Stegostoma tigrinum: one gene and its partners. The protein of the gene in region 1 binds, or shares a complex with, the protein of each later gene. Links are inferred from orthologs where the notes say so. Each region holds a gene or a part of one and is shown on either strand. Other genes may lie near its edges. The genes, in order: arl1, arfaptin-2-like and golga4.

Region 1 (7,742 bases):
TCCAGGGAGCTAAGTCCCAGCCTATCCTGCCCTTCCCCATGAAATAAAAACTTGCAATCTCAGTAACAGCCTTGTAAAAAAAATTGTTAGCACCCTTTCCAGTTTGACAATATCCTTTCTATGGCAGGGTGACCAGAACTGCATGCAGTACTCAATGTGCAGTTAACATCTTGAACATGGCATCCCAACTCCTGTACTCAAAGTTTTGACCAATAAAAAAAAACAGGCATACCAAACACTTTCATCACTCTTTCAACTTGCAACATGATTTTTCAAGAAACTGTACCTGGGCCCCAGGTATCTCTATTCCATAATACTCCCCAGGGCCCTACCATTAACAGTATAAACTGGATACAAGAACAAAACTAGAAGTTGCTAGAAAAGCTCAGGTTTTGCAGCATCTGCAAAGAGAAAATCAGAGTTAATGTTTCAGGTCTGATGTCCTTCCTCAAAACACTGAGCCCAAAACCTTAACTCTGATTTTCTGTTCAGATCCTGCCAGACCTGCTGAGCTTTTCCAGCAACTTTAGTTTTTGGTCCCGATATACAACATCCACAGTTCTTTTGTTTTTTAAAACTGGATACAAAATTGGTTGTAAGGTAAGAGGCAGAGGATTGGGGTGGTGGGGGGTTTCAGACTGGAGGCCTGTCACCAGCAGTATGCCACATGAACTGGTGCTGGGTCCACTGCTTTTTATCATTTATATGAATGATTTCAAGGTGAACGTAGGAGATATTGTTAGTAAGTTTGCATATGACACTAACATTAGTGGTATAGTGGGCAGCAAAAGTGGTTATATCAGAGTATGACAAGTCCTTGATCAATTGGGCTCATGAGCAGCAGATAAGAGTTTTATTTAGATAAATAAGAGGTGTTGCATTTTGGCAAGGCAAATCAGGGCAGGATTTAGAACAAAGAACAATACAGCACAGGAATAGGCCCTTCAGCCCACTAAGCCTGCACCAACACATTTTACTCTTCCATACTAGAAGAGTCTTCACTTACAGGATCCATATCCCCCATTCCCTTCCTGATTATGTGCGCATCCAGGTACTTCTTAAATACTAAATAAAGAACCAAAAGAACTGCAGATGCTGTAAGAGTTCTGAGGAAGGGTCACCAGATGCAAAACATTAACTTTTTTCCTCCTCCACAGATACTGCCAGGCCTACTGAGCTTTTCCAGCAACTTTGTTTTTGCTTGTTAAATACTGTTGCTTATACATTTAATGGTGAGGTCATGAAGAGTAGTGCCAAAGAGACCGCACAAGGGCATAGTTCCTTGAAGGTGGAGTCACAAGCAGACAGGATGAAGAAGGCAGAAGGGTCTAGGCCCGAAACATCAGCTTTTGTGCTCCTGAGATGCTGCTTGGCCTGCTGTGTTCATCCAGCTCTACACCTTGTTATCTTGGATTCTCTAGCACCTGCAGTTCCCATTATCACATCTAGCAAGTGGGTCTAGACTAATGGACTAGTTGGGCCAATGGGTCTGATTCCTTGCCGTACAACTCTATGGTACCAACTCTGATGTCTTCCATGAACATACCAACCATGGTCCCTACCTTCTCACCCAATGTATTTATGTAAAAAGATTTGGGACAACAGTGGCCCCAGCACCAAACCTTGTGACAGAGCACTGCTCCCAGGCCTCCAGCCTGAACAAACAACCCCCCAATACATACTGTAGATGGAGAATATTTTATACAAGTTTCTCACTGACACATTTCCCCTCGATATATAAAATCCCACTGTATATTTTATACAAGTTTCTCACTGACACATTTCCCCTCGATATATAAAATCCCACTGTATATTTTATACAAGTTTCTCACTGACACATTTCCCCTCGATATATAAAATCCCACTGTATATTTTATACAGGTTTCTCACTGACACATTTCCCCTCGATATATAAAATCCCACTGTATATTTTATACAGGTTTCTCACTGACACATTTCCCCTCGATATATAAAATCCCACTGTATATTTTATACAAGTTTCTCACTGACACATTTCCCCTCGATATATAAAATCCCACTGTATATTTTATACAAGTTTCTCACTGACACATTTCCCCTCGATACATAAAATCCCACTGTATATTTTATACAAGTTTCTCACTGACACATTTCCCCTCGATATATAAAATCCCACTGTATATTTTATACAGGTTTCTCACTGACACATTTCCCCTCGATATATAAAATCCCACTGTATATTTTATACAAGTTTCTCACTGACACATTTCCCCTCGATACATAAAATCCCACTGTATATTTTATACAAGTTTCTCACTGACACATTTCCCCTCGATACATAAAATCCCACTGTATATTTTATACAAGTTTCTCACTGACACATTTCCCCTCGATACATAAAATCCCACTGTATATTTTATACAAGTTTCTCACTGACACATTTCCCCTCGATATATAAAATCCCACTGTATATTTTATACAAGTTTCTCACTGACACATTTCCCCTCGATATATAAAATCCCACTGTATATTTTATACAAGTTTCTCACTGACACATTTCCCCTCGATATATAAAATCCCACTGTATATTTTATACAAGTTTCTCACTGACACATTTCCCCTCGATATATAAAATCCCACTGTATATTTTATACAAGTTTCTCACTGACACATTTCCCCTCGATATATAAAATCCCACTGTATATTTTATACAAGTTTCTCACTGACACATTTCCCCTCGATATATAAAATCCCACTGTATATTTTATACAAGTTTCTCACTGACACATTTCCCCTCGATATATAAAATCCCACTGTATATTTTATACAAGTTTCTCACTGACACATTTCCCCTCGATATATAAAATCCCACTGTATATTTTATACAAGTTTCTCACTGACACATTTCCCCTCGATACATAAAATCCCACTGTATATTTTATACAAGTTTCTCACTGACATTTCCCTCCCTACCCCCTGTATATCAGGTATACCCCTGGAAACACCGTATATTTTATACAGCTACCACTCACCGACACGTTTCTCACTTCACCGATTCATTGTATATTTATACCCATCCCTGTACATTTTATATAATTTAAATAAATCTCTCACTAACCCATCTCGCTGTTTGCTCCGACGTGGCCGTCGTCCCCAGGCTGCGCGCGCACTCCCCGGTAGAGCCTGAGGCCTAATGCCCGTTTCCTGACGCCGCAGATTCGCGCCTCGGAATCCGCGAAAAATAAGCAACCTTTTCCACCCCCCGGACTCCGCTTAAATACCAGCCATTTACCTCGTGCCCGACACTGGCGAAAAATCAGCTCTTCATCAAGATTCAACCGTCATCGGCCGATTCGCCGCGGCTGCGTGCCACGCGACCCGCGCGATGCCGTCCTCCAGACGGAGAGGGCGCTGCTTCACCGCCAGCGGCCGAACAAGCAGAAAGTCAGTGGCGTTGCTCCAGTTCCAGGTACCTGTGGATTAATTAGAAGCAGGTGTTGGAAGAAATAATTTAGTCCGCCTTATTTTATTTACAAATGCAAAGATTAGTTATTACTTATACCTGCAATCTTACTAATTAATTCTTATATATTCACACACAAGTTGTCACTGTACATAACAGCAAGGGTCCCATCACTGATCCCTGTGGTACACCGCTGATCACAGGCATCCAGCCACAAAAAACATTCCCCCACCATCACTCTTTGCCTCCTATTTGAAAGCCCAATTTTGGATCCACTTTGCCGACCTGCCTTGGATCCCATGGGATCTTACCCTTTGGACCAGTCTTCCATGTGGGACCGTCTCAAAGGCCTTATCCAAATTCCACATAAACCACATCAATTCCACGATCCTCATCAATATACATAGCCATTTAAAAAAATAAAATTCAATTAAACAAGTCAGATAGGGTCTCGCTTTGACAACTCAGTGTTGACCATCTCTGATCAATCCCTGCTTTTCCAAGTACTGAGTCACACAACACCAGGTTATAGTTCAGAGATAATGGGAACTGCAGATGCTGGAGATTCCAAGATAATAAAATGTGAGGCTGGATGAACACAGCAGGCCAAGCAGCATCTCAGGAGCACAAAAGCTGACGTTTCGGGCCTAGACCCTTCATCAGAGAGGGGGATGGGGGGAGGGAACTGGAATAAATAGGGAGAGAGGGGGAGGCGGACCGAAGATGGAGAGCAAAGAAGATAGGTGGAGAGGGTGTAGGTGGGGAGGTAGGGAGGGGATAGGTCAGTCCAGGGAAGACGGACAGGTCAAGGAGGTGGGATGAGGTTAGTAGGTAGCTGGGGGTGCGGCTGGGGGTGGGAGGAAGGGATGGGTGAGAGGAAGAACCGGTTAGGGAGGCAGAGACAGGTTGGACTGGTTTTGGGATGCAGTGGGTGGGGGGGAAAGAGCTGGGCTGGTTGTGTGGTGCAGTGGGGGGAGGGGATGAACTGGGCTGGTTTAGGGATGCAGTGGGGGAAGGGGAGATTTTGAAACTGGTGAAGTCCACATTGATACCATATGGCTGCAGGGTTCCCAGGCGGAATATGAGTTGCTGTTCCTGCAACCTTCGGGTGGCATCATTGTGGCAGTGCAGGAGGCCCATGATGGACATGTCATCAAGAGAATGGGAGGGGGAGTGGAAATGGTTTGCGACTGGGAGGTGCAGTTGTTTGTTGCGAACTGAGCGGAGGTGTTCTGCAAAGCGGTCCCCAAGCCTCCGCTTGGTTTCCCCAATGTAGAGAAAGCCGCACCGGGTACAGTGGATGCAGTATACCACATTGGCAGATGTGCAGGTGAACCTCTGCTTAATGTGGAATGTCATCTTGGGGCCTGGGATGGGGGTGAGGGAGGAGGTGTGGGGACAAGTGTAGCATTTCCTGCGGTTGCAGGGGAAGGTGCCGGGTGTGGTGGGGTTGGAGGGCAGTGTGGAGCGAACAAGGGAGTCACGGAGAGAGTGGTCTCTCCGGAAAGCAGACAGGGGTGGGGATGGAAAAATGTCTTGGGTGGTGGGGTCGGATTGTAAATGGCGGAAGTGTCGGAGGATAATGCGTTGTATCCGGAGGTTGGTAGGGTGGTGTGTGAGAACGAGGGGGATCCTCTTGGGGCGGTTGTGGCGGGGGCGGGGTGTGAGGGATGTGTCGCGGGAAATGCGGGAGACGCGGTCAAGGGCGTTCTCAATCACCGTGGGGGGGAAGTTGCGGTCCTTAAAGAACTTGGACATCTGGGATGTGCGGGAGTGGAATGTCTTATCGTGGGAGCAGATGCGGCGGAGGCGGAGGAATTGGGAATAGGGGATGGAGTTTTTGCAGGAGGGTGGGTGGGAGGAGGTGTATTCTAGGTAGCTGTGGGAGTCGGTGGGCTTGAAATGGACATCAGTTACAAGCTGGTTGCCTGAGATGGAGACTGAGAGGTCCAGGAAGGTGAGGGATGTGCTGGAGATGGCCCAGGTGAACTGAAGGTTGGGGTGGAAGGTGTTGGTGAAGTGGATGAACTGTTCGAGCTCCTCTGGGGAGCAAGAGGCGGCGCCGATACAGTCATCAATGTACCGGAGGAAGAGGTGGGGTTTGGGGCCTGTGTAGGTGCGGAAGATGGACTGTTCCACGTAACCTACAAAGAGGCAGGCATAGCTGGGGCCCATGCGGGTGCCCATGGCCACCCCCTTAGTCTGTAGGAAGTGGGAGGAGTCAAAAGAGAAGTTGTTGAGTGTGAGGACGAGTTCCGCTAGGCGGATGAGAGTGTCGGTGGAGGGGGCCTGGTCGGGCCTGCGGGACAGGAAGAAGCGGAGGGCCTTGAGGCCATCTCCATGCGGAATCCTCCGACACTTCCGCCATTTACAATCCGACCCCACCACCCAAGACATTTTTCCATCCCCACCCCTGTCTGCTTTCCGGAGAGACCACTCTCTCCGTGACTCCCTTGTTCGCTCCACACTGCCCTCCAACCCCACCACACCCGGCACCTTCCCCTGCAACCGCAGGAAATGCTACACTTGTCCCCACACCTCCTCCCTCACCCCCATCCCAGGCCCCAAGATGACATTCCACATTAAGCAGAGGTTCACCTGCACATCTGCCAATGTGGTATACTGCATCCACTGTACCCGGTGCGGCTTTCTCTACATTGGGGAAACCAAGCGGAGGCTTGGGGACCGCTTTGCAGAACACCTCCGCTCAGTTCGCAACAAACAACTGCACCTCCCAGTCGCAAACCATTTCCACTCCCCCTCCCATTCTCTTGATGACATGTCCATCATGGGCCTCCTGCACTGCCACAATGATGCCACCCGAAGGTTGCAGGAACAGCAACTCATATTCCGCCTGGGAACCCTGCAGCCATATGGTATCAATGTGGACTTCACCAGTTTCAAAATCTCCCCTTCCCCCACTGCATCCCTAAACCAGCCCAGTTCATCCCCTCCCCCCACTGCACCACACAACCAGCCCAGCTCTTCCCCCCCACCCACTGCATCCCAAAACCAGTCCAACCTGTCTCTGCCTCCCTAACCGGTTCTTCCTCTCACCCATCCCTTCCTCCCACCCCCAGCCGCACCCCCAGCTACCTACTAACCTCATCCCACCTCCTTGACCTGTCCGTCTTCCCTGGACTGACCTATCCCCTCCCTACCTCCCCACCTACACCCTCTCCACCTATCTTCTTTGCTCTCCATCTTCGGTCCGCCTCCCCCTCTCTCCCTATTTATTCCAGTTCCCTCCCCCCATCCCCCTCTCTGATGAAGGGTCCAGGCCCGAAACGTCAGCTTTTGTGCTCCTGAGATGCTGCTTGGCCTGCTGTGTTCATCCAGCCTCACATTTTATTATCTTAGGTTATAGTTCAACCGGTTTATTTGAAGTCACAAGTTTTCAGAGCGTTGCACATTCACCTGATGAAGGAGCAGCGCTTCGAAAGCTTGTGATTTTAAATGAATCTGTTGACCTATAACCTTTTGTTGTGTGACTTCTGACTTTGTCCACCCCAGTCCAAGACTGGCACCTCCACCTCATGGTTTCTAAGTATAGATTAATCCTGTCCTTCAGCATATTTTCCAACCTTTTCCAACCCAAATTGGCAACTTGTTTCAATTCTCAGAAAAAAAACAGGCAGCATGGTGGTTCACTTGTTGGCGCTGTTGCATCACAGAACCAGGGACCTGGGTTTGATCCCAGGTTTGGGCGACTGTCTGTGTGGAGTTTGCACATTCTCCCCGTGTCTGTGTGGGTTTCCTCCTGCAGATGTGCAGGCTGGCTAGGTGAGTTGGCCATGCTAAATTGCCTGTAGTGTCCAGGGATGTGTAGATTAGTGGGATGGGTCTGGGTGGGATGCTCTGAGGGTTGGTGTGGACTTGTTGGGCTGAAGGGCCTGTTTCCACACTGTAGAGATTCTATGAACCAGGAAAATTTCCTGTCAAGTGATGTCAGACTAACTGCTCTGTAATTACCAGCCTATCCCAACTCCTTGCCTGAACAAGGACCCATATCAGCTGTCCTCTAGTCACCTGACACTTTACCGGTCCCCAACAAAGTATTAAGTATCTCCACCATGACCCCAGAAGTTTCCTCCCTTGCATCTTACCCAGCTCTGGGGAGTTATAAGAACCAAAAGAACTGCGGATGCTGTAAATCAGGAACAAAAACAAATTTGCTGGAAAAGCTCTGCAGGTCTGGCCGTTCTGTGGAGGAGAAAACAGAGTTAATGTTTCGGGTCCGGTGTCCCTTCCACAGACTTGAGGAAGGGTCACCGGACCTGAAACGTTAACTCTGGGGATT
Region 2 (7,813 bases), on another chromosome or scaffold:
ATCTCCAAACAGGTTGAATGGTAAAACTTGTCCAACCCGTGCAGTTCTGAAGAATCACCATACCGGACTTGATGCATGAATTCTGTTTTTCTCCCCACCGATGACAGCAGACAGGAAACAGTGAGTAGGGATAAATGGGTCTTTTTCTGAGTAGTACACAGTGACAATGGGGTACTAGATGACACAAAGATGGGTGGGTGGATGCAGAAATGCAGCAGTGTGACTTGGACAAGTTGAGTGAGTAAGCAAATGCATGGTTGTCGAAACATAATTTGGAAAGATGTGAGGTTATCCACTTGGAAGCAAAAACTTGGAAGGCGTACCATTATCTAAATGGCAAGAAATTGAGAGAGGGGAATGTTCAACAAGACCTGGGTGTCATGATATACTGTAGATAAGCATGCAGTTGCAGCAGGAGGTGAAGAAGGCAAATGGGATATTGGCCTTCATAACAAGAGGATTCAAGTACAGGAGCAGGGATGTCCTGCTGCAGTAATACAGGGTCTTGGTGAGGCCACTCTTGGAGTATTATGTGCAGTTTTGGTCTCCTTCTCTGAGGACGGATGTTCTTGCTACAGAGGGAATGAAGCAAAGCTTTATCAGATTAATTCCTGGGATAGTTATAGAGTCATAGAATAATACAGGCCGTTCAGCATAAACTGGTCCATGCTGACCATGGTGCCCATTCAGCTTGTTCCAATTGCCTACATTTCGTCCATATCCCTCTAAACCCTTCTCATCTAGAAGTTTTTAGATGTTGCCATTATACCCGCCTCAACCACTTTTTCGGGAAGCCCATTCCATATATGCAGCACCCTCTACGTGAAGAAGTTGCCCCTCAAGTCATTCTTAAATCTTTCCCCTCTCACCTTAAACCTACATCCTCTAGTTTTCAACCCACTATTCCTGGGAAAAAGACTAAATGTATTCATTCTATATATGCCCTATACACCTCAATGAGATCATCCCTCATTCTCCCATGTTGCAAGGAATAAATTCCTATCCTGGTCAATCTCTCCCAATAACTCAGGCCTCCTAGTCCTGGCAACATTCTCATAAATCCTCTTTGCACAATTTCCAGTTTAACTATGTCTTTGCTATAACAGGGTAATTAAAACTGAAAACTATACTACACGTGCAGCCTCAACAACTTGTACAATTGTAACAGATCGTCCCAATTCTTATGTAAAAACCAAATGAACTGCAGGTGCTGTAAATCAGGAACAAACAAAGTTGCTGGAAAAGCTCAGCAGGTCTGGCAGCATCTGCGATGGGGAAAAAAAAGTTCACATTTCAGATCTGGTAACCCTTTCTCAGAACTAAGTAACTTTCTCAGTTCTGAGGAAAGGTCACCAGAACCGAAACGTTAACTCTTTTTACCTTCACAGATGCTGCCAGACCTGCTGAGCTTTTCCAGCAACTTGTTTTTGGTCCCAATTCCTATACTCAATGCCTCGACCAATGAAGGCCAGCATGCAAATATCTACCCTGTGACACGGCTTTCAGTGAACTATGTACTCGTACTCCTAGGTCCCTCTGATCCACAACACTCCTCAGGACCTTACCATTTACTGCATAAGTTCTACCATGATTTGATTTTCCAAAGTGCAACACCTCATACTTATCCGTATTGAATTGCAATTACCAATCTTCAGTCCACTTCCCCATCTGATCAAGATCCCTCTGTAATTTTTGATAACCTTCCTCATTATCAACGATACCTCCTAATTTTGTATCATCTGCAAACTTACTGATCATGCCTCGTACATTCACATCCAGATAATTTATGTAAATAACAAATAACAAAAGGTCCCAGCACTGAACCCTGTGGCACACCACTAGTCACGGCCTCCAATCTGAGAAATCACCCTCAACCATCACCCTCTGCTTCCTACTATCAAGCCAATTTTGAATTCAATTCGCTAGCTCTCCAGGGATCCCAAGTGACCTAACCTTGTTGTAGGAGGAAAGATTGCATCTGTTTGGATTTTATTCCCTGGATTTCAGAAGGATGATGCAGTGGGGTGGGGAATATCTCACTGAAACCTTTAAAATTCAAAGAGGACCAGACAGGGTGGATGCACGAAGGATGACAAGTGTGGAATCCAGGACCAAGAGACACAGTCTAAGTCATTATAAGTCATTTAGGACCGAGATGAGAAATTTCTTCACCCAGAGAGTAGAGAGCCTGTGGAATTCATTGCCACCGAAAGCAGTCAATAAAAACACAATGATTAAAAGAGGGAATTGTAGATAGTACCCGAGTTTAAAGGAATCAAACAATGATCGGTAAAAACACGCACAGACTCGAGTGGATGATCAGCAATGATCACAATGAATGATGCAGCAGGCTTAAAGGGCCTGCTCCTGTTTGTTACCATGTTTAACACAGCACTTTATAGTTTCCTGCTACTAGTCTGAATAAATAGTGACTCTGAACTGCAACAGTTAGTGACCCTTACCGTGAATAAACAATGAGGAATTCTGATGTTGGCAAACTGCATTCCTGTTACGTGGACTGATGTGTGGGGTTGAAGAGGCTAAAGGAATAGCCACAAATGGGGTGACAGGAGGAGGGACAAGGTACGTGTCAGGGGCCTGAGGAGGTTACAGAGACAAGGAGGGAGGCGGTGGTGGTAGCACTGAATACAGGCTGTAGGATGTGTGCATGTCACAGAGGGAGTACTCTGTTACACATTGTGATCCAAGCAGTACTCAGCTTGTTGTGTCGCAGTTTGATGTTTGAAGAGTCTACAATTTTCGTTCATGTATGCAGGTGAGACACATCGAGTGATGTCAACAAGGTCAGGGCGAGAATTAGTCTCCAAATACACGCTACGATCAGCAACTACATCAGTGCAAACCACAGCAGGAGGTGGAGAAATATACAGAGGGCAGGTTCATACCATGGGAGCAGGTCAAGGGGGTGGACTGCACTAGCAGTGGGTAAGACAACGTGGGCAGTTGGGTGACACTGACCAACTGAGAATAGCAACCCGTCCTGAGTATGATGGGCACTCCCTGGTCAAACAGACACCTTCCCCAGCAGTTCACAAATCATAGCGACACACAAATACTAATGGGGGGGGGGGGAGAGGGGGGAGGAGAGTGGGGGCGTCGGGGAGGAGGGGGAAGGAGGGAGAGGGAGACGGGTTAGGGTGGGGGGATGGGATGGACCTCTTGTTTCCCCCCGCCCCGTTCTCTTACCGGGGCTGCCGCTCGGGTGTCTCTCGGCGGGGAGGGGCCTGAGCCGGTTTCTAGGGACCCGGAGCCAGGGCGGGCCACCGCCAGGAAGTGACGACACAACTGGGCGGCTCACCGGAAGCGATTTGGGAAAGGTCGTCGAGACAGAATGGAGCCGGAGATTCGCAACGTGAGGCCCTCACCACCCCCACCCCCCCCCACCCCCACCCCTCCCTCACCCCCACCCCTCCCTCACCCCCACCCCTCCCTCACCCCCCCCACCCCCACCCCTCCCTCACCCCCCCCACCCCCACCCCTCCCTCACCCCCCCACCCCCTCCAATTTCCCCCACAAACCAAGAGGTTATGCTGCAGCTGTACAAAACTCTGGTGCGGCCGCACTTGGAGTATTGCGTACAGTTCTGGTCACCGTATTATAAGAAGGATATGGAGCTTTGGAGAGGGTGCAGAGGAGATTTACTAGGATGTTGCCTGGTATGGAGGGAAGGTCTTACGAGGAAAGGCTGAGGGACTTGAGGCTGTTTTCATTAGACAGAAGAAGGTTGAGAGGTGACTTAATTGAAACATATAAAATAATCAGAGGGTTCGATAGGGTGGATAGGGAGAGCCTTTTTCCTAGGATGGTGACGGCGAGCACGAGGGGGCATAGCTTTAAATTGAGGGGTGAAAGATATAGGACAGATGTCAGAGGTAGTTTCTTTACTCAGAGAGTAGTAAGGGAATGGAACGCTTTGCCTGCAACGGTAGTAGATTCGCCAACTTTAGGTACATTTAAGTCATCATTGGATAAGCATATGGACGTACATGGAATAGTGTAGTTAGATGGGCTTGAGATCGGTATGACAGGTCGGCACAACATCGAGGACCGAAGGGCCTCTACTGTGCTGTCATGTTCTATGTTCTGTGTTCTAACCCCTCCCCAGCTCACTTGCCCCAATCTCATGTGGCTGCCCTCTTCACTAAGAATCCCCCTCACCCCCAGAGTCTATGTCCTGCACAAACCCCCTCAGTAATACATCCGTTCATTCCTATCCCCCACTCCCAACATCATACACTCACGTGGAAATTTACGGACAGCAATGGCTGTGTTAGCATCTGTGTTTTCACGGGAAGGAGGTCAATGGCATATATGGAGGGGTAGGTGTATGGGTTTGTTTCTGCTCCTCTGTGATCTTAATCTCCAGCTCGCTCGCTCTCTCTTTGTTTCAGCTGCGGGACTTCCTGTTGGTCTATAACAAAATGACAGAAACCTGCTTCAACAAGTGTGTGGCCAACCTCAACTACAGGAGCATCACATTGACTGAGGTAAATCCAAGGATGACCAGCTGCACACATCATTGGAGGCATGTGATAGCCCTGGAAAGGGTTTAAACATAATTTTACCAGGATGTTGCCTAGACTAGAGAGTTGTACGAAAAGAGGTTGGAAAGACTGGGGTTATTTTTCTTAGAACAGAACAGAGTAGATTGAGAGTGGATGTGGTTGACATGCATACAATAATCAGAGTCGTAGATACGGTAGACAGGAAGAAATTTTCCCTTTGGAGGGATCAATGAGCAGATGTGTAGATTTAAGGGAAGAGCCATAAAGTTTAAAGGTTATTTGAGGAAAAATATCACATAGAGGTTGATGGGAATCTGGAACTCAGTCTGTCAGGATGGAAAGGGCAGAAGCCGCTTTAACATTGAAGAAGTATTTAGATGTGCACTTCTGATGCCAGGACAGGCAAGAGAATGGGCCAAATCCTAGATTAGAATAATTAGGTGACAGTTTTTGACTGGTGCATACTTGATGGACTGAAGAGCCTTTTTCTGTGCTGAGACCTCTCTGACTCTTTGAACCTCATCACACAAATCAGGAACAAGGGATCATTTTGACCCTCCTTCTTGGCTCATATCATTACTCCATCCCCAGTAATCTTTCACCCTTTGATTAACCAGAGATGAAAATGGGCTATTACAGTTAGAACCAAGAGATGTAGCTCGGTGTTAGATAAATACTTTGCAGCTATCTTTACTTAAGGGGCAGGTGCTGCTCAGTACATGGTGACAGAGACAAAATCTCAGTCACTGAAAGGGTTTAAGGTTAATAAGGAGCTGGTATTCAAGACACTGTTGGCAGTGAGAAGTCACCAGACCAGTTGAGATGCATGGCAAAAATTTGCCAGCGTTGCTCAGACAGCACTTTCCAAACCCATGACCACTTCCATACAGAAGGACCTTTTTCCAGCTACTTTGTTTTTGTTCCTAATTTGTGGCATCCGCAGTTCTTTTCATTTTTATTAAGGGCAACAGATACATGGGAACACCATACCCTGCAAGTTCCTCTCCAAGACACTCACCATCCTGACTTGGAAATATATTGCCGTTCCTTTAGTGTTGCTGGGTCAGATCCTGTAATTCCTTCCTTTAGGGCTTTTTGGGTCTAGCTACATCACATGGATTGCAGCAGTTCAAGAAGGCAGCACACCGTAACCATCTCGAGGAGCAAATATGGGTGGGCAATAAATCCTGGGCCCAGCTAATGACACCCACACCTCATAAGAGAATTAAAAAACAATGTATGCCAAGGATATGGAAGGGAAAGTGGAAATTGCAGAGATATTGACAAATTACTCATGACCCTTTGACAGTGCGGCCTATTAGGTGTCTGTACGATATGACACAGTTTGTTGATGGTATGCTCTGGAACGGAATGTGCTTTAATATGTTTCCTCTCTTTCTAGGAGAATTGCATCAACAATTGTGCTGGTAAATTGATCCACACCAACCATCGGTTAATGAGTTCCTACGTCCGGCTCATGCCAACCATTGTTCAAAGAAGAATCTCTGACTATGAGGCAAAAGCTGCAGAGGTTGTGCAGAAATCAAATGTGAATCTGCCTGCATCAGAGGGCCAAAGTAACATTGCTGAAATTGTACCAGGGGACTTGGAAAATTCTGTTATCCCTGACCCACTGAATCAGACTAACACTGGCTCTCCTGACCAGAGTTAGTTTCTTGCTCCCAGTGTCACCCTGGCACTAATTCTTTCACTTACCCTTGCGTGCACAGATTGAGTGATTCCTTCCAACTTCCAGCGAATCAAACGGCATCAGTTGGGAGCTGATGTGTAACAGAAAATCAACAGACCCAGCTCAATATCTACATCACCTGGCATTTTAAACAGGTAGTTGAATTTGTGTTGACAGAAGCTGGAGTGTGGTCTGGAATGGGCCAAACTGGACTGACCGCAACTATTAGACAGTGACAAGACTGGAAACCAAAGGTCATACTGACCAGAATAGCCAGAGCGTTTCACATTGTGAAAGTGAAAACTCAACTCCTGAATGCTGAACTGTTAACATCTTAAACGAAAAAGGAGCTCAAGACAGCCAAGGCATGGAACTGATTAAAGTTAGTTTCATTGAAAATGTTTCCTTGCTCTTCAGTGAATTAATATACATTTAAGTTACAGGTGAGACCCTTGTCAAATGACAGCACTTATTTCAGTTCACAGATGTTGTTTAAGAAATTGTGGGTAATGTTTCAGAATATTTTATCATCTGAACTATCAGTTCAGGAGTCTGTCGTCTACTCCAGGCCCCAAACACATGAATTATATCATTACCACTAAGAGTATGGTCCCTCTGTGAGTGATGAGCTGCCCAGAACTAAGAGGTAAAATTGCAGACATAGTGAGTGCGTCACTGTGGGAATAATCCATACAGAGACGCCACACCAGTCTTTCATAGAAGCATCATAGAATCCCTACAGTGTGGGAACAGGCTATTCAGCCCAACAAGACCACAACGCCACTCCAAAGAACATCCCACCCAGACCCATTCCCTTACCAGAGATAACAAGGCGTAGAGCTGGATGAATGCAGCAGGTCAAGCAGCATCATAGGAGCAGGAAAGCTGACATTTCAGGCCTAGACCCTTATTTGTAGAACTCTTCATAGAAATTTCTGAAGAAGGATCTAGGCCCAAAACAGCAAGCTTTCCTGCTCCTCTGATGTTGCTTGGCCTGCTGTGTTCATCCAGCTCTACACCTTGTTATCTCAGATTCTCCAGTATCAGCAGTTCCTACTGTCTCTGAAACAATTTTAACCCCATTCCCTTACCCTTATATTTCCCATGCCTAACTCACCTAACCTAAACTTCCCTGGGCAATTTAGCATGGCGAGTTCACCTACCCTGCATGTCTTTAGATCATGGGAGGAAACTCACACAGACACAGGGAGGATGTGCAAACTGCACACACAGTCACCCGAGGGTGGAATTGAACCCAGCTCCCCGACACTGAGAGGCAGCGGTGCTAACCACTGAGCCACCTTGCTATATTTCACTAATAGTAGACATTGTTTGAACATTCTTGTGTTCCCAGTGTGTTTATGGTGTGAGATCATGTGCAATAATGACCGAGATTGGTGAGTGGCAAAAATAGCCTCTTTATCGAGCATCCACAGTGGCACCGTTTGAGGTGGTGATGGAATCCAAAGTACTGTTTTACAGTAGACTCTTTTTAGACACAGATTTTTAAAGGTTTAATTTTCTTTAATGATAAAATTTTAGCACTATGGTATCAGGTAGTTGTGTCAATTGTACACAAGTTTGCATGATATCTGTC
Region 3 (8,345 bases), on another chromosome or scaffold:
CTAAAGAGCTTGAAGAAAATTATCCAAAATGTAAAGTTTATGTGAATTTTCAAATTCACCATGATAGGTTTTCCTTGCAAGTTACCAGCAATCTTTAGCTTGGACACGTCTGGCCGAACGATTATCAACGTGTGGGAAATAGTAACCTTGGGTCTTATTCAATCTAAGTTTTGAACAAGAGTCATCCTGAGACTTGAAGACTCAGTACACTTTGCCAAATTGCTAATAGCTCAGTGAATATCCCAAATTTGGATTCCAACTCACAATAATTCCATAATTCTAGTGGCCAGATCAGCCAATTACTTTTAAAGACCATAAGACATAGGAGCAAAAATTAGGCTGTTCAGTCCATCGAGACTGTTCCACCATTCAATCGTGGCTGATAAGTTCCTCAACCTCTTTCTCCCTGTAACCTTTGATCGCCTTGATAATCAAGAACCTATCAAACTCAGTTCTAAATGTACTCAATGACCTGGCCTCCACAGCCTTCTGTGGCAGTGAATTTCATAGATTCATCACACTCTGGCTGAAGAAGTTTCTCCTTATCTCCATTCTAAAAGGTCTTGCCTTTCCTCAAGGCTGTGGCCTCAGGTACTAGTCTCTCCTACCAATGGAAGCATCTTCCCAACATCCACACTGTCCACATAACTCAGTATTCTGAAAGTTTCAATTAGATCCCCCCTCATCCTTCCAAACTCCAATGAGTATAGTCCCAGAGTTCTCAAATGTTCGTCATATGTTAAGCTTTCCATTCCTTGGACCATTCTCATGAACCTCCTCTGAACCCACTCCAAGGCCAGTACATCCTTCCTGAAATATGTTGTATTCCTGCATTCCTTTTTTACACCCAGTGTACAGGCACTGGAATGCTCTTTAGCAGTTTTATGTTGCGGTTAATATTGATTGGTTTCTGCACTCAACTCATTTACCCCTGGCAAGTTCTCTCTTTGCCTTGATCTATGCACTTGGCTGAAGCTTTATATTTATTTTATTCACGCTCTCAAAAATATTGAGTGACAATTTTATACAAATTTTACTGATATGAATTTTAGATTCACAATTAAATTGAGCTGAGCACTGTACATAAATTTTAGGCATTAGAATCTTTTAATACTGAGGAGAGTGGGCAAATATATGGGAACATGAAAATGCAAACAAATAAAACTGCTGTGTCATTTGTTAAACCCATATGTAGGCCCTTCGTGTAAGTAAAACAATTTAGTTGCACATCCCTTCAAAGATATGACAGAGAACCAGTTGAGGGGGTTTGTTAAATATTTACTTCCTCATTTAGTTTCAATTTTTAATTGAACCAGTACTGGCGCGAATTGTCCCTGGGAATTTACCAGCTTCTGCGTTCTTAGTGAAGCTGGTTGTAATAAATCATTTATTTGAACCATGTTTCAAATTTCACTATTTTCAAACATCATACCCAAGAGGACAAAATTCAGAATCCACAATTACACAACTGTGCATAATAAAATTATCTTTCAGTGAATGTGGCCAAAGCTTCGCTTTAATTAGCTTGTTTCTGACATTTGGGCAACTTCTTTACAAATAGATTCAAAGCATTACATCAACAACCCAATGTATAGAGATAATAATACCAAATCAACAGCTCAAATTTATAAGTTTCAAGTCAGACATGACACTAAACCAGCATCATTAGCCGATTAGCCAGCTGTTGGTTTGTCAGGCACGGGTTGTAATCAACCACTGTGAAACACAAAAACATTTTGTCACTTCAAGAATCCAAGTAGCAGCTTATCCTACAAAACAAACCTTCAATAACTAACGAAGTTCAATTCACGACAAAATCATAAATGAGTTTTCTTGCTTTGTTCAGTAAATGCTCAATTCTATTGAAACTGTCAAAAAGGTGGCATTGATTCCCCCACGATTATGAAAGCAATATGTTGACCAATTACAGAAATGTTGAGAAATGTTAAATGTGTACCATTCCTCTTTGTGATGAGGGTGTTAACTCCACAACATTGATGCTCTCCATTGATCAAAAAACAAGAGGAGACATATCCACGAAGCTTCTTGCGTTTTAAGAAAACTTGACTTATATATTGACCTCACTTGTACTCTGCTGCTCTATCCTCATATTTTAATTCACTGTGGGTCCAAAGGCCAATCATCTCAAGTTGTAAATATACTTAACTACTGAGTACCTTCAGTCATTGGGAGAAGGAGCAAATCGAACATCAGCTGCAGGATAGCAAAGACTGTGATTCAATGAGGGTGCCTGCGATGCAGGCTAACGTACCTACCCTGAGCTAGAGACCCAGCTTCAAGTTTCACCTACTACACTGGCGTAAAATAAAATCTTGTGAGCAGGTTGTTTGGAAAAGATCAAAACGTCAGCTGTTGGGCTCCTGAGATGCTGCTTGGCCTGCTGTGTTCATCCAGCTACACACTTCGTTATCCTGAAAACACTTTTTTGGGTTTTGCAATGCAATGGCAGTGTTCCTACCGCTGGCTCAGAAAACCTGGGTTCAAGTCTCAACTCCTCCAGATGAGTATCATAACATACCCGTAACAGTTGATTTAGGAAAAGAAAACTAAGACTGTGATTCAAATATGGGCGAGTAAATCGTTTACACAACTGGCATCCCAAGATTGAAAATCCGGAAAGAAACGCTGACACAGTTTTCCACATCTCTCTCTTACAGAAATATCAATATCACCAATGAAGTCACCTCACCTCACAACACAACCAAGATGGGTAATTCTGATTTCATCGTGATAAAAGGTTTCCTTCCAAAACACTCTCGTAAATCAATTACAATAATTGTTTATCCTGACCAGAGTCGAAATGAACCACTGCGAAGTTGGAAAAACCACTGAACTTCAAAAATCCCACACAGCCACGTACAATGAAGAAGCAGAGCTTTCGAAAACTTGCGCGAACCACTGTCGCTCTGCCGGGGTCTCGTCCAGCTGAAGGTACCAGAGGTCAAAGAGGTCGGGGTTTCGTCTGCGTGATCTCCGGGAAATGAGGGTCAACTGACAGGACAATTCTGAACTACCTGGTACTCAGCCTCTGCTCCGAGAGTTAGCCTGGGGCCCTATGACAGCTGTTAGGGAGGGGACAGTGGCTCATTCCCCAACCCGCCCTTACTCACTGATGTTCAGAGTGGGGTCTGGAGGGAGTCTGGATCATCCCAACACCCCCTCCCGGAGCTTCAGGAACGCCTCTCCCCGGCCGGGCCGGGACGGGACGGGCCTGGCCGACAGTGCCCTCCGCCCTCTCTCACCTGAACTACGCCGCTCCTGACCGGGAACTGCTCTTCGTTAAGCTTCTGCTTGAGTTTCTTGAACATCGTGCCAGCCGCCGGGATAGCCCGAGAACCAGGGTGGGGACAGAAATTGCGTGGGTCGCCGACAGCCTCCACGGTCCCCGCCAGGCCCCGGCTCCCGGACTTCAGGCCTCACGATCCGGATTGCCGCACAGCGCATGTGCCGGCAACGTGGCCCCGGCAGCCAAAGGCGCGTGTCACACGCATCAAAGACCAGCCGGGGGCGCTGCTTGCACCCAGGGCGCTTTAGGGGAGAGAGACTTGCAGGAAAGCGCTGTTTGCATCCAGAGCTCTGAGAGGTGAGATCGCAGCAGGGTGCTAATTGCATCAGTGATAATGGGAACTGCAGATGCTGGAGAATCCAAGATAATGAAATGTGAGGCTGGATGAACACAGCAGGCCCAGCAGCATCTCAGCAGCACAAAAGCTGACGTTTCGGGCCTAGACCACTTCACCAACACCTTCCACCCCAACCTTCAGTTCACCTGGGCCATGTCCAGCACATCCCTCACCTTCCTGGATCTCTCAGTCTCCATCTCAGGCAACCAGCTTGTGACTGATGTCCATTTCAAGCCCACCGACTCCCACAGCTACCTAGAATACACCTCCTCCCACCCACCCTCCTGCAAAAATTCCATCCCCTATTCCCAATTCTTCCGCCTCTGCCGCATCTGCTCCCACGATGAGGAATTCCACTCCCACACATCCCAGATGTCCAAGTTCTTCAAGGACCGCAATTTCCCCCCCACAGTGGTCGAGAACGCCCTTGACCACGTCTCCCGCATTTCCCGCAACACATCCCTCACACCCCGCCCCCGCCACAACCGCCCAAAGAGGATCCCCCTCGTTCTCACACACCACCCCACCAACCTCCGGATACAACGCATCATCGTCCGACACTTCCGCCATCTACAATCTGACCCCACCACCCAAGACATTTTTCTATCCCCACCCCTGTCTGCTTTACGGAGAGACCACTCTCTCCGTGACTCCCTTGTTCGCTCCACACTGCCCTCCAACCCCACCACACCCGGCACCTTCCCCTGCAACCGCAGGAAATGCTACACTTGCCCCAACACCTCCTCCCTCACCCCTATCCCAGGCCCCAAGATGACTTTCCACATTAAGCAGAGGTTCACCTGCACATCTGCCAATGTGGTATACTGCATCCATTGTACCCGGTGTGGCTTCCTCTGCATTGGAGAAACCAAGCGGACGCTTGGGGATGCACTTTTCAGAACACCTCCGCTCGATTCGCAATAAACAACTGCACCTCCCAGTCGCAAACCATTTCCACTCCCCCTCCCATTCTTTAGATGACACATCCGTCATGGACCTCCTGCAGTGCCTCAATGATGCCACCCGAAGGTTGCAGGAACAGCAACTCATATTCCGCTTGGGAACCCTGCAGCCCAATGGTATCAATGTGGACTTCACCAGCTTCAAAATCTCCCCTTCCCCCACCGCATCCCAAAACCAGCCCAGTTCGTCCCCTCCCTCCACTGCACCACACAACCAGCCCAGCTCTTCCCCTCCACCCACTGCATCCCAAAACCAGTCCAACCTGTCTCTGCCTCCCTAACCTGTTCTTCCTCTCACCCATCCCTTCCTCCCACCCCAAGCCGCACCTCCATCTTCTACCTAATAACCTCATCCCACCTCCTTGACCTGTCCGTCTTCCCTGGACTGACCTATCCCCTCCCTACCTCCCCACCTATACTCTCCTCTCCACCTATCTTCTTTTCTCTCCATCTTCAGTCCGCCTCTCCCTCTCTCCCTATTTATTCCAGAACCCTCTCCCCATCCCCCTCTCTGATGAAGGGGCTAGGCCCGAAACGTCAGCTTTTGTGCTCCTGAGATGCTGCTGGGCCTGCTGTGTTCATCCAGCCTCACATTTCATTATCTTGGGTGCTAATTGCACTTGGGTCTCTGTCACTGAGAGGGTCCAGGAAGGGCGCTGTATGCATTCTTAGGCTCGAGAAATGAGAGTACAGCTGGGACGTTTTCTGCATCCAGAGCTCTGGGGAGGTGAGGGTCCAGCAGTGTCTGAACCTAGGCTTCCTTGGAGGGGAGGGTTCAGCAGGGGTTCTGTCTGTACGTAGAGCCACAAGCAGGTGCGCTGTTTACACCAAGAACAGTATGCAAGGGAGGCTCAGCAAGGCTGTTGTCTGCATCCAGGACTCTTTGGAGGAGAGGGTGCAGCAGAGGCAGTATCCGCACCCATGACTCTTTAGAAAGGAGGAACCAGCAGGGGAACGTCTGCACCCAGGACTTTGTGGAGGAGATGGTCCACCGGTGGCAGCCTCTGCACACAGGTTAGAGGGGAGGTGGGGAACCAGCAAGGGTCGACTTGCATCGAGGGCTCCGAGGAGCTGATGTCTTGGGTTGACTTCCCAATTCCCCAGGACTGTCTTGGAGCAACTAACTAAAAGCTATCATCTTCATTGCATTGAGATAACAAGGTGTAGAGCTGAATGAACACAGCAGGCCAAGCAGCATCATAGGGGCTGCTCCTTTGGCCTGCTGTATTCATCCAGCTCTACACCTTGTTATCTTGGATTCTCCAGCATCTGCAGTTCCTCCTTTCTCTGATACAATCTTCGTTACGTTGTTCACAGTCTCAAGATAACATATTTTTCCTTTTTTTGAAATGTTCTTTTAATAGATCATTTTCATTTCTCATGTCATAGAGTCGTAAAGCATGGAAACAAACTCTTTGGTCAAAGCGTACATGTTCCCAAACGAAACTACTCCCACTTGCCAGCAATTGGCCTATATCCCTCCAAACCTTTCCTATTCATACATCACAGAACATAGAACAATACAGTGCAAAACAGGCCCTTCGGCCCTCGATGTTGCGACGGCCTGAGAACTAATCTAAGTCCATTCCCCGACACTATCCCATCATCATCCAATATGCTTATCCAAGGACTGTTTAAATGCCCCTAATGTGGCTGAGTTAACTCCATTGACAGGCAGTGTGTTCCACACTCTTACCACTCCCTGAGTAAAGAACCTGCCTCTGACATCTGTCTTAAATCTCTCACCCCTCAATTTGTAGCTATGTCCCCTCGTACAAGCTGACGTCATCATCCTCGGAAAGACACTCTCACTGTCCACCCTATCTAATCCTCTGATCATCTTGAATGTCTCTATTAAATCCCCTCTTAGCCTTCTTCTCTCCAATGAGAACAGACCCAAGTCTCTCAGCCTTTCTTCATAAGGCCTTCGCTCCAGACCAGGCAACATCCTGGTAAGTCTCTTCTGCACCTTTTCCAACGCTTCCACATCCTTCCTGTAATGGGGCGACCAGAACTGCACGCAGTATTCCAAGTGAGGCCGTACTAGCGTTTTGTACAGTTGCAGCATGACATCACAGCTCCGGAACTCAATCCCTCTACCAATAAAATCTACCACACCATAAACCTTCTTAACAGCACTCTCAATCTGGGTGGCAACTTTCAGGGATCTATGTACATGGACACCAAAATCCCTCTGCACGTCCACACTACCAAGAATCTTTCCATTGACCCAGTATTCTGCCTTCCTATTATTCTTCCCAAAGTCAATCACCTCACATTTGTCTGCATTGAACTCCATTTGCCAACGTTCAGCCCAGTTCTGCAGTGTATCCAAGTCTCCCTGCAACCTGCAACATTCTTCCACACTGTCCACCACTCCACCGACTTTAGTGTCATCTGCAAACTTACAAACCCATCCACCTATGCCTGTGTCCAAGTCATTTATAAAAATGACAAACAGCAGTGGTCCCAAAACAGATCCTTGAGGCACACCACTAGTAACCGGACTCCAGGCTGAATATTTTCCATCAACCACCACTCGTTACCTTCTTACAGAAAGCCAGTTTCTAATCAAAACTGCTAAATCTCCCTCAATCCCGTGCCTCCGCATTTTCTCCAATAGCCTACCATGTGGAACCTTATCAAAGGCTTTACTGAAGTCCATGTACACCACGTCAATTGCCCTACCCACATCCACATGCTTGGTCACCTTCTCAAAAAACTGAATGAGAGTTGTGAGACATGACCTGCCCTTGACGAATCCATGCTGACTATCTCCAATCAAATTGTTGCTTGCTAGATGATTATAAATCCTATCTCTTATAATCCTTTCCAAAACATTTCCTACAACAGACGTAAGGCTCACAGGTCTATAATTACCTGGGTCATCCCTACTGCCCTTCTTGAACAATGGCACAACATTTACAATCTTCCAGTCCTCTGGCACTAAACCTGTAGAGAATGAGGACTCAAAGATCAAGGCCAAAGGCTCCGCCACCTCCTCCCTAGCTTCCCAGACATCCTCGGAAAAATCCCATCTGGCCCAGGTGGTTTATCTACCTTCATACCTTCTAGAATTGATAACACCACCTCCTTACTAACCACAATCCTTTCAAGTCTAAAAGCCCGTATCTCAGTCTTCCCCTCTACAATATTCTCCTTTTCCTGAGTGAAAACAGATGAGAAATATTCGTTTAGCACCTCTCCGATCTCCACAGGGTCCACACACAACTTCCCACTTCTGTCTTTGACTGGCTCTATTCCAACGCTAGTCATCCTCTTATTCCTTACATACCTATAGAAAGCTTTAGGGTTCTCCTTTATTCTACCTGCTAATGTCTGCTCATGTCCCCTCCTTGCTCTTCTTAACTCTCTCTTTAAATCCTTTCTAGCTAATCTGTAATTGTCCATCACCTCATCTGACCCATCTCGTCTCATCGTCACATAAGCCTCCCTTTTCCGCTTAACAAGAGATACAATTTCTTTAGGAAACCACAGTTCCCTTACCTTATCGCTTCCTCCCTGCCTGACAGGGACATACCTATCAAGGACACACAATATCAGTTCCTTAAATCAGCTCCACACTTCATTTGTTCCCATCCCCTGCATTTTGCTAACCCATTCTATGCCTCCTAAGTCTTGCCTAATCGCATTATAATTGCCCTTCCCCCGTCTATAACTCTTGCCCTGTGGCATGTTCCCATCCCTTTCCATCGCTAAACTAAACGTAACCGAATTA

Evidence for each region.
Region 2: the proteins of arl1 (region 1) and arfaptin-2-like are in contact, whole or in part, in a crystal structure (PDB 4DCN), measured with the Homo sapiens proteins. The link is inferred for Stegostoma tigrinum from reciprocal best matches to the Homo sapiens genes ARL1 and ARFIP2. Residues at the interface, in NP_001168.1 of Homo sapiens: Glu17, Arg19, Gln38, Ile46, Ile49, Gly50, Phe51, Asn52, Val53, Glu54, Thr55, Gln64, Trp66, Ile74, Tyr77, Cys80, Tyr81; in NP_001363487.1 of Homo sapiens: Phe205, Thr212, Lys216, Thr217, Asp220, Asp278, Ile281, Lys282, Phe285, Leu286, Glu288, Asn289, Lys292.
Region 3: the proteins of arl1 (region 1) and golga4 are in contact, whole or in part, in a crystal structure (PDB 1UPT), measured with the Homo sapiens proteins. The link is inferred for Stegostoma tigrinum from reciprocal best matches to the Homo sapiens genes ARL1 and GOLGA4. Residues at the interface, in NP_001168.1 of Homo sapiens: Ile49, Gly50, Phe51, Gln64, Trp66, Ser73, Ile74, Pro76, Tyr77, Cys80, Tyr81, Ser83, Glu115; in NP_002069.2 of Homo sapiens: Thr2173, Glu2174, Glu2176, Tyr2177, Lys2180, Val2181, Glu2184, Glu2190, Thr2193, Lys2196, Val2197, Thr2200, Val2201.

What each region holds. Positions count from the first base shown.
Region 1 is NC_081371.1:59,384,782-59,392,523, forward strand, and holds the start of arl1 (ADP-ribosylation factor-like protein 1), read right to left. Parts: upstream 3,318-7,742; 5' UTR 3,102-3,317; coding exon 3,098-3,101; intron 1-3,097. UniProt on the Homo sapiens protein: GTP-binding protein that recruits several effectors, such as golgins, arfaptins and Arf-GEFs to the trans-Golgi network, and modulates their functions at the Golgi complex.
Region 2 is NC_081359.1:113,858,604-113,866,416, reverse strand, and holds the start of arfaptin-2-like, read right to left. Parts: upstream 3,296-7,813; 5' UTR 3,208-3,295; intron 2,868-3,207; exon of another isoform or gene 2,463-2,867; intron 1-2,462. Other genes in the region: timm10b (mitochondrial import inner membrane translocase subunit Tim10 B), read left to right, coding at 3,353-3,373, 4,413-4,508, 5,929-6,198. UniProt on the Homo sapiens protein: Plays a role in constitutive metalloproteinase (MMP) secretion from the trans Golgi network. May have important functions during vesicle biogenesis at certain cargo subdomains, which could be predominantly utilized by secreted MMPs, such as MMP7 and MMP2.
Region 3 is NC_081358.1:6,280,114-6,288,458, forward strand, and holds the start of golga4 (golgin subfamily A member 4), read right to left. Parts: upstream 3,454-8,345; 5' UTR 3,330-3,453; coding exon 3,264-3,329; intron 1-3,263. UniProt on the Homo sapiens protein: Involved in vesicular trafficking at the Golgi apparatus level. May play a role in delivery of transport vesicles containing GPI-linked proteins from the trans-Golgi network through its interaction with MACF1. Involved in endosome-to-Golgi trafficking.